Linked DNA regions of Oryctolagus cuniculus. The protein of the gene in region 1 binds, or shares a complex with, the protein of each later gene. Links are inferred from orthologs where the notes say so. Each region holds a gene or a part of one and is shown in the gene's direction. Other genes may lie near its edges.

Region 1 (4,451 bases):
CGCTTGTTTTTGTTTGTTTGTTTTAAGATGTGTTTATTTATTTATTTGAAAGTCAGAGTTACATAGAGAGAGAAGGAAAGGCAGAGAGAGAGAGAGGTCTTCCATCTGCTGGCTCACTCCCCAGTTGGTCTCAACAGCTGGCGCTGTGCAGATCTGAAGCTGGGAGCCAGGAGCTTCTTCCGGTATCCCATGTGGGTGTAGGGTCCCAAGGACTTGGGCCATCTTCTACTGCTTTCCCAGGCATATTAGCAGGTAGCCGGATCGGAAGTGGAGCAGCCAGGACTTGAACTGGCACCCATAATGGGATGCCGGCACTGCAGGTGGCGGCTTTACCCACTATGCCATAGCACCAGCCCTGAGATGCATGTTTGGATTCAACAGGTTTGATAGGTCATTACCAAGGGCACACGTGTCCGTAGATGTCCATCCTTAAAGGGGCCAGGCAAAGCTGACTTTGTGTCTCAGGACCAGGTTCTAAATGGATACATTTTGGCTCATAAGGATATTTCTTTCTAGAAAGAAAAATTAGGAGTAGGCAACAGCCCAGTCAAACAGAAAGAAATGAGCAGTTGCAAAGTGTGGAGGGAGGAAGAGAGTCTGTGAAGTTTAAATATAGAGCAAGAGGGTGGACATTTGGCTCAGTGGTTAGGATGCCACTCAGTATGCCCACATTCCATATCATTGTGCTTGGCTTTGAGTTCTGGCTCTGCTGCGAAGGTGGGTCTCTGCCACCTACAAGGAGACCTGGGCTGACTTCTCTGATCCCAGACATTTGGGGTTGAACTGGGTGAGACCTTGTGCTCTCTCTCTCTCTCTCTCTCTCTGCCTTTCAAATAAAATAAATAAATATTTTAAAAATATATAGACAAAGATGCTAGATTTTGTTTATAGTAAAATGTATGCAGTTAAGGAGCTTGTTAGCCACAGAGATGTGCAAGGTTCTGCTACCCCTCATGGGAAGGCCCTGAGGTAAGTCCTGTTTCCAGACACATCAGAGAAGAAATAAGTAAGCTCTCCAATTTATGATGGGTCACCTTTTTTTTTTTTTTTGACTTCACAATGACCCAAAACATATCCATCCAACCACTCTGTTTTCCATTTTCAATTCAGTGTTCAGTAAATTACATGACATATATTTAACACTATTATGAAATGGGCGAGGTATGAGATGATTTGCTAAGCTGTAAGCTATCGCCTGTGTTCTTAGCATGTTTCAGGTAGGCGAGGCTAAGCTATGATGTTGAGTAGGTTAGCGGTATAATCAATGTATTTTGGACTTAACAATATTTTCAGCTTCGGGTAGGTTGGTGTGTGTGGAGGTACCCGGTTTCAGTTGAGGAGTTTCTACAACCTCCCTGCAAGGCAACCTGGTCATGTGCATTGCAATTCCACTTCCTCCCTTTAAGCCACGTGTGCACTTCCAGTGCTCATGTTACATACCAACCTATCCACCTACCCAAAGGCTATTGATGGGACATCAGTGCTGTGCGACCATGGGCCACCAATGATACGTGGCCATGCTTAGTGGGTAATAACAATGTGTGGCACATATAACATACGAATAATATAACAACAATAAATTGGTAATTTAAAAGTAAGGTTCTAAATAATACACAACCTGAGCCTACTGATGCACAATTGTGAGCACTTAGCAAGCTGTCCACAATGGCAATTCCAGTCATTTTTAGCCTTGTTCTTTGTATCTTTCTGTATTGTTTCAATTATCTATGTGTGTGTGTGCAAACTTCATAATTAGGGGGAAAAAAGTAAAGCTAGTTTTATTTTTTAAAAGATTTGAAAAGCCCCTAAACTCCCAAGGGAACATTCGAGAACCATTCTCCCCCCCTCCCATCATGAGCTGCACAACGAACACATCTCTTTATGGGGTCTTTTCTCTCTGAGGTTTTTTCTGCCTGGCTTTCAAAATTCGAGAGTGCCTTTTTATTCCCCTAAGAGTAGAAGCAATAGCGAAAGAAAATACTTGATTGTGACTGAATTTCCCCAGTGATAAAAGGACCCAGATGGCTTTGTTAATGACTCTGGAATGCTCTCCAAGTCCTAAGCGTAGAGGAGTGATGCCCCTCCACATGAAACTATCCACTCCGTTGGGATCCTTTGCAGGAGAGGCAGATACAGGTGTGTCTACGTCAGATGGAGCTCAGTGTTTCTCTCTCTCACCCATATTCAGATGTACCAGAACATGGATGGCCACGCTCCAGAACGTTCTTCCGGCTACCAAAACAGGCGATCTTTTGGCAGAGAGATGGGTTCAGAGCTACCCTCGCCACAGGCTCCCGCTGGAGACTCATAGAGAAACCTGTTCGTCTGAAGGACTTCCCCTGTCCACCTATCTTATGCAGGCTATAGATGACCAAGACAAGGTTACTTTCATCACTAAAAGAAAAATATATTATCAACTGCTGCTTTGCCAGACTTTTCTCTAGAAGCTCTCTGCATTTACTCTTGTTTTCAAAGGGACTTTTGTAAAATCGAAGCATCTGGTGCCCGAGGCAGGCAGAGCCGCTAACTAACTCTCCCGGAGCACCTGCCTACATCCCAAGGCCGTCTCTGGCTGGCTTGAGTGAAAGTCGCATCCCCGGAGTATACTATATTCTTGTAAATACTTCCACCAAAAGCATTTTGCTAAGGAGAAGCTAATATGATTTTTTAAAAAATCCATGTTTTAAAATACTATGTAACTTTTTCAGCTATTTAGTGATATATTTTATGGATGGAAATAAAATTTCTAATGTAGAAAACGTTTGTTAGTGAATTATGAACTTGGTTTATTTCGGGCCGGAAGGAACTGGATGTACAAGCTTTTCCTACGGAGAAGGCTCGTTCTTGCATTAGATCCGCGGTAGCTCTGTTTCCACTGTGTGCTCTTGGTCCCCCTGTCCTCTGAAGCTGGGCACCCTGCATCCCGCAGGCTGGAAACGGCACTTGTCCTCATGCCCTGAGGGGCCAGGAGCCTTTTCTTTGCCTTTGACTGCCTGCCGAGTGTAGGTTACAGAGGAGGGCTCTGGGGGCGTTTGTCAGGACTGGGGTTCACTCCCCAGCCTTTCTCAGCTTTGTGACCTAGGCCAACGCTGCGGCCAGAACGTGTCCCCAGGGGGCAGTGCTGTGGTGCACTCTGCTTCTAATGCCAGCATCCCGTATCCAGGCGCCAGTTCAAGTTCTGGTTGCTTTGCTTCTGATCCAGCTCCCTACCAATGCACCTGGGAAAGCAGAAGATGGCTCAGGTACTTGGGCCCCTGCCACCCATCCATGTGGGAGACCTGGATGGAGCTCCTGGCTCCTGGCTTTGGTCTGGCCCAGCCCTGGCCCTGGCCCCAGCCGAGGAGGCCATTGGGAAATGAACCAGAGGATAGAACATACCTCTTTCTTCTCTCTCACTTTCTGTCTTCTCTCTGTCACTCTACCTTTCAAATAAATAAAATAAATCTTAAAAAAAAAAAAGTGCCCCCGAAAGTTCCCTTGTAAACTGAATCAGCTCTGAGAGGTGACCAGACCACATGAGGGCGCCGCCCTTCGGGACACATCCTGTTGTTATCGCAGGTCCCTCGTCACAGGAATGGGTCTGTTATAGGAGTTTGGCCCCCTTCTGCTGTCTTATTCTCCCTCGAACCTTGTGATACCTTCCATGGGTCATCACACAGCGGGAAGGCCCTCACCAGACACAGCCCCTTGGCCTTGAACTTCCCAGCCCCCAGATCCATGAGTAGCGCAACCATTTCAGCTTCAGTGTCCTTTCCTGAGCAATTAGAGGCATAAGGACCTCTCTCTCATAGGGTTGCTCAGAGAATTAGATAATTAAATATACAATGCACTTATACATATAGAACCTAAATATGTAAGTCATTGAGATCAATGCCTGGCATATAGATATGACCTAATATTATTATATGCATTTTCCCTTCTGGTTTTATTTTATTTCTTTTTTAAAAAAAGGTTTACTTATTAGGCAGAGTGATGGGGGGGAAGGGGGAGAGAGAGAGAGAGAGAGAGAGAGAGAGAGAGAGAGAGAGAAATCTTCCATCTGCTGGTTCACTCCCTAAATGGCCATAAAAGCCAGAGCTGGCCAGGCCAAAGCCAGGAGCTTCATCCCAGACACCCATGTGGGTGCAGGGGCTCAAGCACTTGGGCCATGTTCCACTGCTTTCTCAGGCACATCACCAGGGAGCTGGAGCCAAAGCCAAGCAGCCAGGACTTGAACTGGCACTTGGGTAGGGATGCTGGTATCAAAGGCAGCAGCTGAACCTGCTGTGCCATGCCAGCCCCCTCCTTTCTGGTTTTCATCATTTGCTTTCGACCAGGTCACCATAAACTTTCTTGGATTACCGATCTCTTGGTCACCTCTTTCCCCAAGCTCTCCATCATCCAATGTATTCTCTAAGCTGCTGCCAGATTCCCCTTCCTGAAATACTGATTTGGAGCAGGTGTTTGGTTCA
Region 2 (4,585 bases), on another chromosome or scaffold:
ACAGAGATGGAGAGAGAGACAGGGAGAGGGCGAGAGAGTCAAGAAGAGACAGGGAGAGAGAGACAGAGAGTGAGGGAGAGAGACACACAGGGAGAGACAGAGACGGAGAGAGACAGGGAGGGAGAGAGAGAGACAGGGAGAGACGGGGGGGGGGAGATGCCCCATCTGCTGGTTCACTCCCCCACCTGCCTGCAGCAGCGGGGGCCGGGCCAGGCTGAAGCCGGGAGCCGGGAGCTTCTTCTGGGCTTCCCGCCTGGGTGGCAGGGGCCCAGCACTTGCACCGCCGTCTGCCGCCTTCCCGGGCGCGTTGACAGGGAGCTGCACTGGGACGCGGAGGAGCCGGGACGGGGACCAGTGCTCTGCTCCGGGGGTGCAGGCGTCCAGCCCAGTGTTGGCGTAACCTGCCACTCCTCCCCTGCGCTTCTACAGCTGGCCAGTCATTGGAGAGAGATAGCGAGAGAGAGAGAGAGAGAGCGCGTGAGAGAGAGAGAGAGAGGGCCCCCAGCTGCTGGCTCAGTCCCCCCGGATTCCCGCCTGGCTGACTCCATGCAGGTCCAGCCAGGGCTCGGACGCAGGCATCTCAGCCGTGGGGCCGCCGTCCGTCTGTAGGAGTTCACGGGGGTGAACTTCCGGGAGCCATCAGAGGATGCCAGACTGCTTCCTGCGCCGTCTCCCCAGCGCTGGACCTTGCTTCGCAGGAACTGGGCTCTGAAACCCAAACCTGGAAGCTGGCCTTGCTCCAGTCCCGGAGCTGCCCAGCCGCCCGGCGCCGCGCGCAGCTGTGGGTGTCCGTGGGTTCCCCCCATCCATCCCACTGGGGGTTGAGAATATTCAGGAAGAAAGAGAATCCCACGTCTGTACCGAACGAACCTCCTTCCTCGTCAGCAGTCCCTAGACAGTGCAGGGCAGCAACGGCTGACACGCATGTGCGTCACACTGAGGGGGATAAGGCATCTAGATGTGACAGGAGGGAGGCTGGCGTGGTGGTGCAGTGGGGAAAGCCGCCGCCTGCAGTGCCAGCATCCCCACATGGGCGCCAGTTCTAGTCCCGGCTGCTCCACTTCCGATCCAGCTCCCTGCTGTGGTCTGGGGAAAGCAGCAGAAGATGGCCCAAGTCTTTGGGCCCCTGCACCCGCGTAGGAGACCCGGAAGAAGCTCCTGGCTCCTGGCTTTGGATCAGCCCAGCTCCGGCTGCTGCAGCTAATTGGGGAGTGAACCAGCAGATGGAAAATCTCACTCTCTCTCTCTGCCTCTCTGTAACTCAGTCTTTCAGAGAAACAAAACTTTTTAAGAAGATTTGTTTATTGAAAGAGTTACATAAAGAGAGGAATAGACACACACACACACACACACACACACACACGGAAAGAGCTTCCATTCACTGGTTCACTCGCCAAATGGCTGCAGTGGCTGGAGCTGGGCTGATCAGGAGCCAGGAGCTTCTTCCAGGTCTCCCATGCGGGTGCAGGGGCCCAAGGACCTGGGCCATCTTCTACTGCTTTCCCAGGCCACGGCAGAGAGCTGGACTGGAAGTGGAGCAGCCAGGACTCGAACTGGCGCCTATATGGGATGCCGGCCCTGCAGGTAGAGGCTTAGCCCCCTACACCACAGCGCTGGCCCCAGTCAACCAAGTTTTATTAACCCGTATTCTATGTCCACGGCACTGGGGACCCAGCGTGGAACATGCAGACTTGGGGCTAACCTGAGCCAGGAAGGAAACCCCACGCAACCAGACGACGGCGCTCCTGAGGGCACCCGGCCCGGCGCTCAGAGTGAAGTGGGCGATGTTGCGTGATCGAGGCTCCATCCGGGCCTCCCGCGTGAGTGGCAGGGACACAAGCCCTTGGGCCCAAGACGCACATTCGCGAGAAGCTGGATCGGAAGCGGAGGGGCCGGGATCGGAGCGGGCTCTCCGACGGGACGCAGTGTCCCCGCGCCACACGCCTGCTCCCGGGCAGCTGGGAGGTTCCGGCGATGCACAGCACAGATAATGTCCCTCCCCCACACGGAGGGAGGAAGACAGAGCTCTGAGACGCAGCTGTTCAATCGTAAAGGAAAACACGGGTGGTCGTGTGGCCTAGTGGTTAAGCACCCAGTTCCCGGGAGGCGGCCATGCTGGTTCAGGAGCTGGGTCCCTGCCACCCACCGGGGGCACCTGGACTGAATCCGGGCTCTCAGCTCAGGCCCTGGCCACTGTGCCCATCAGGGACTGAACCAGCGCATGGGACTCACTCTCTCTGCCTTTCAAATACATTTTTAAAATAAAATTCATCTTGGAGCTGGCACTGTGGCACAGCGGGGTAGGCCATGGCCTGCAGTCCGGCATCCCATATGGGTGCCGGTTCAAGTCCCGGCTGCTCCACCTCTGACCCAGCTCTCTGCTGTGGCCTGGGAGAGCATAGAAGATGGCCCAGGTCCTTGTGCCCCTGCACCCGCGTGGGAGACCCGGAAGAAGCTCCTGGCTCCTGGCTTGTGCCTGGCCTAACCCCAGCCATCGCAGCCATTTAGGGAGCGAGCCAGTGGATGGAAGACCTCTCTTTCTGTAACTCTGCCTGCCAAATAAACCTGTACGATAAACACATACAATTAGACAAAGCTTTCCTGTCTGCCAGGTTCTCTCTGTCCCTGTTTAATTCACGAGGGAAGATGAACGGGCTCCCCGCTTTGCAGATGGGGAAATCAAGGCAGCAGTGCCAGGCAGGCCCCTCCTCCCCTCCGGAGCCCACCCTGCTCCTCGGTCACGCGGCCTCCTCTCTCCTCAGAACCCTCCACGCCCCTGCCCCTGAGGAGTCCCGGGGCCCTGGGGGCTACGGTGCTGCCGGCCCCTGCGCCGCACCTGCTGCTGGTCTTGCTGCTGCTGCCCTCGGCCCTCCTGCTGCTGGTCGCTGCCTGGTGCCTGCGCCGGCGAGGGACGCCCTGCCCCGGGGAGCGGGTGAGCCGGCGCGGGCCCAGACGGACGAGGGGTGGCCCAGGCCCTGCCTGTCCCCAGGGGCCCCCAGGAGGTGTTGCTTGTGGGTCCTGGGAGGCCTGGCTGAGGGCGGCGGGGTCTGCCTAGGGGTCCTGGGAGGCCTGGCTGAGGGCGGCGGGGTCTGCCTAGGGGTCCTGGGAGGCCTGGCTGAGGGCGGCGGGGTCTGGCACGTGTGGTGGAGTAGGGGAGCGAATTGGGAGGGGCAGGGTGGGCGTCTGGCCGGCCTGGAGGTGTAACGGGCACAGGGGGCCCTGGGCCTGGCTCAGTGTCGGGTGCAGCAGCGAGGCCGGGGGACAGGCGCTGAGCTGGGGGGCCCCGGGGTGTGATGGCATCGCAGGCCTCCGCAGGGGGAGGCCGGGCGGGAGGCAGCCGGGGCTTTGCACGAACGGCCTCTGGCCCCTCAGCAAGGCGCTGCCATGGCTGCCCTGCCTTTCAGGGCGCAGAGGCCACTCGGGCTCCAGGGGCCACCCGGCTGCCCGGGGCGCTGGGACTTGGCCCCCTCCAGGCCCTGCCCTCTGCTTCCCGGTTTCCTCTAACGCACCAAAGGCTCTGCGAATAGCCCCCCTGCCCCCCGCCGGGAGTGAGGGGGCCCAGCCGGGCCCTGAGAGCCCTGCTGCCCCTGGGGAACTGACCGCAGCCCACATGCAACTCAGCTAAACCAGTTAATTTTAATAATGTGTGATTACAGCAGTGTAGCTGTCACTTCAACATGCAACCACTTTTATTTTTAAAAAAGATTACTTGAAAGGCTGACAGAGAGAAGACACAGATTTATTTTTTAAAAGATTTATTGAAAAAAAAAAAGGGGGTGCCGGTGCCGCGGCTCACTAGGCTAATCCTCTGCTTGCGGCGCTGGCACCCCGGGTTCTAGTCCCGGTCGGGGCGCCGGATTCTGTCCCGGTTGCCCCTCTTCCAGGCCAGCTCTCTGCTGTGGCCCGGGAGTGCAGTGGAGGATGGCCCAAGTGCTTGGGCCCTGCACCCCATGGGAGACCAGGAGAAGCACCTGGCTCCTGGCTCCTGCCATCAGATCAGCGCTGTGCGCCGGCCGTGGTGGCCATTTTGGGGTGAAGCAACGGAAGGAAGACCTTTCTCTCTGTCTCTCACTGTCTGTAACTCCAGACCACAGCAGAGCTGGACCGGAAGTGGAGCAGCCGAGATTCGAACCGGCGCCCACCTGGGATGCCAGCGCTTCAGGTGGCAGCTTTACCCACTACGCCACAGCGCCGGCCATGGGATATTTAATCTAACTTAATTTTTAAAAATTACAACTTATTTCGGGAAAAGTAACACATCGAGCCCCCCCCCTTCCCGCCACGCGCAGCGCCCTGGGCCCGGCCCTCCCGCGGCGCGCGCGGCGGACAGACAGACGGACACGCCGTCCCCGTTCCACAGGCCAGGACGCTGAGGAGCCGCGGGGCCGAGGACGCGCGGCCGGGACCGGAGGCGGAGCCCCTCGCGCTGCCCTCGGGACGGAGGCCGCGCCCGGCGCCCGCGGGAGGCTGCGCCTGAGCCCCGGGCCGCGGGGCGCCCGCCCACGGAGCGCGGGGCTCTAAGCCTGCAGGGAGCGCCGGGGTCCCACAGCGCGGGCCTGGCGGGCGGGCCGCCCCCTGCGGGCAC

The links. The genes of interacting proteins can lie anywhere in the genome.
Region 2: the proteins of FLT3 (region 1) and FLT3LG are in contact, whole or in part, in a crystal structure (PDB 7QDP), measured with the Homo sapiens proteins. The link is inferred for Oryctolagus cuniculus from reciprocal best matches to the Homo sapiens genes FLT3 and FLT3LG. Residues at the interface, in NP_004110.2 of Homo sapiens: Asp180, His279, Gly280, Phe281, Gly282, Met300, Ser301, Thr302, Tyr303, Asn306, Arg307, Met309, Arg311, Ser333; in NP_001191431.1 of Homo sapiens: His34, Ser35, Pro36, Ile37, Ser38, Ser39, Asp40, Lys44, Lys87, Glu99, Asn102, Thr103, Glu104, His106, Phe107.

The regions. Positions count from the first base shown.
Region 1 is NC_091440.1:86,511,563-86,516,013, forward strand, and holds the end of FLT3 (receptor-type tyrosine-protein kinase FLT3), read left to right. Parts: intron 1-2,188; coding exon 2,189-2,311; 3' UTR 2,312-2,763; downstream 2,764-4,451. UniProt on the Homo sapiens protein: Tyrosine-protein kinase that acts as a cell-surface receptor for the cytokine FLT3LG and regulates differentiation, proliferation and survival of hematopoietic progenitor cells and of dendritic cells.
Region 2 is NC_091449.1:7,942,960-7,947,544, reverse strand, and holds part of FLT3LG (fms-related tyrosine kinase 3 ligand), read left to right. Parts: intron 1-1,507; coding exon of another isoform or gene 1,508-1,596; exon of another isoform or gene 1,597-2,586; intron 2,587-2,762; coding exon 2,763-2,932; intron 2,933-4,360; coding exon 4,361-4,477; 3' UTR 4,478-4,585. UniProt on the Homo sapiens protein: Stimulates the proliferation of early hematopoietic cells by activating FLT3. Synergizes well with a number of other colony stimulating factors and interleukins. Required for the development of B cells, and dendritic cells (DCs).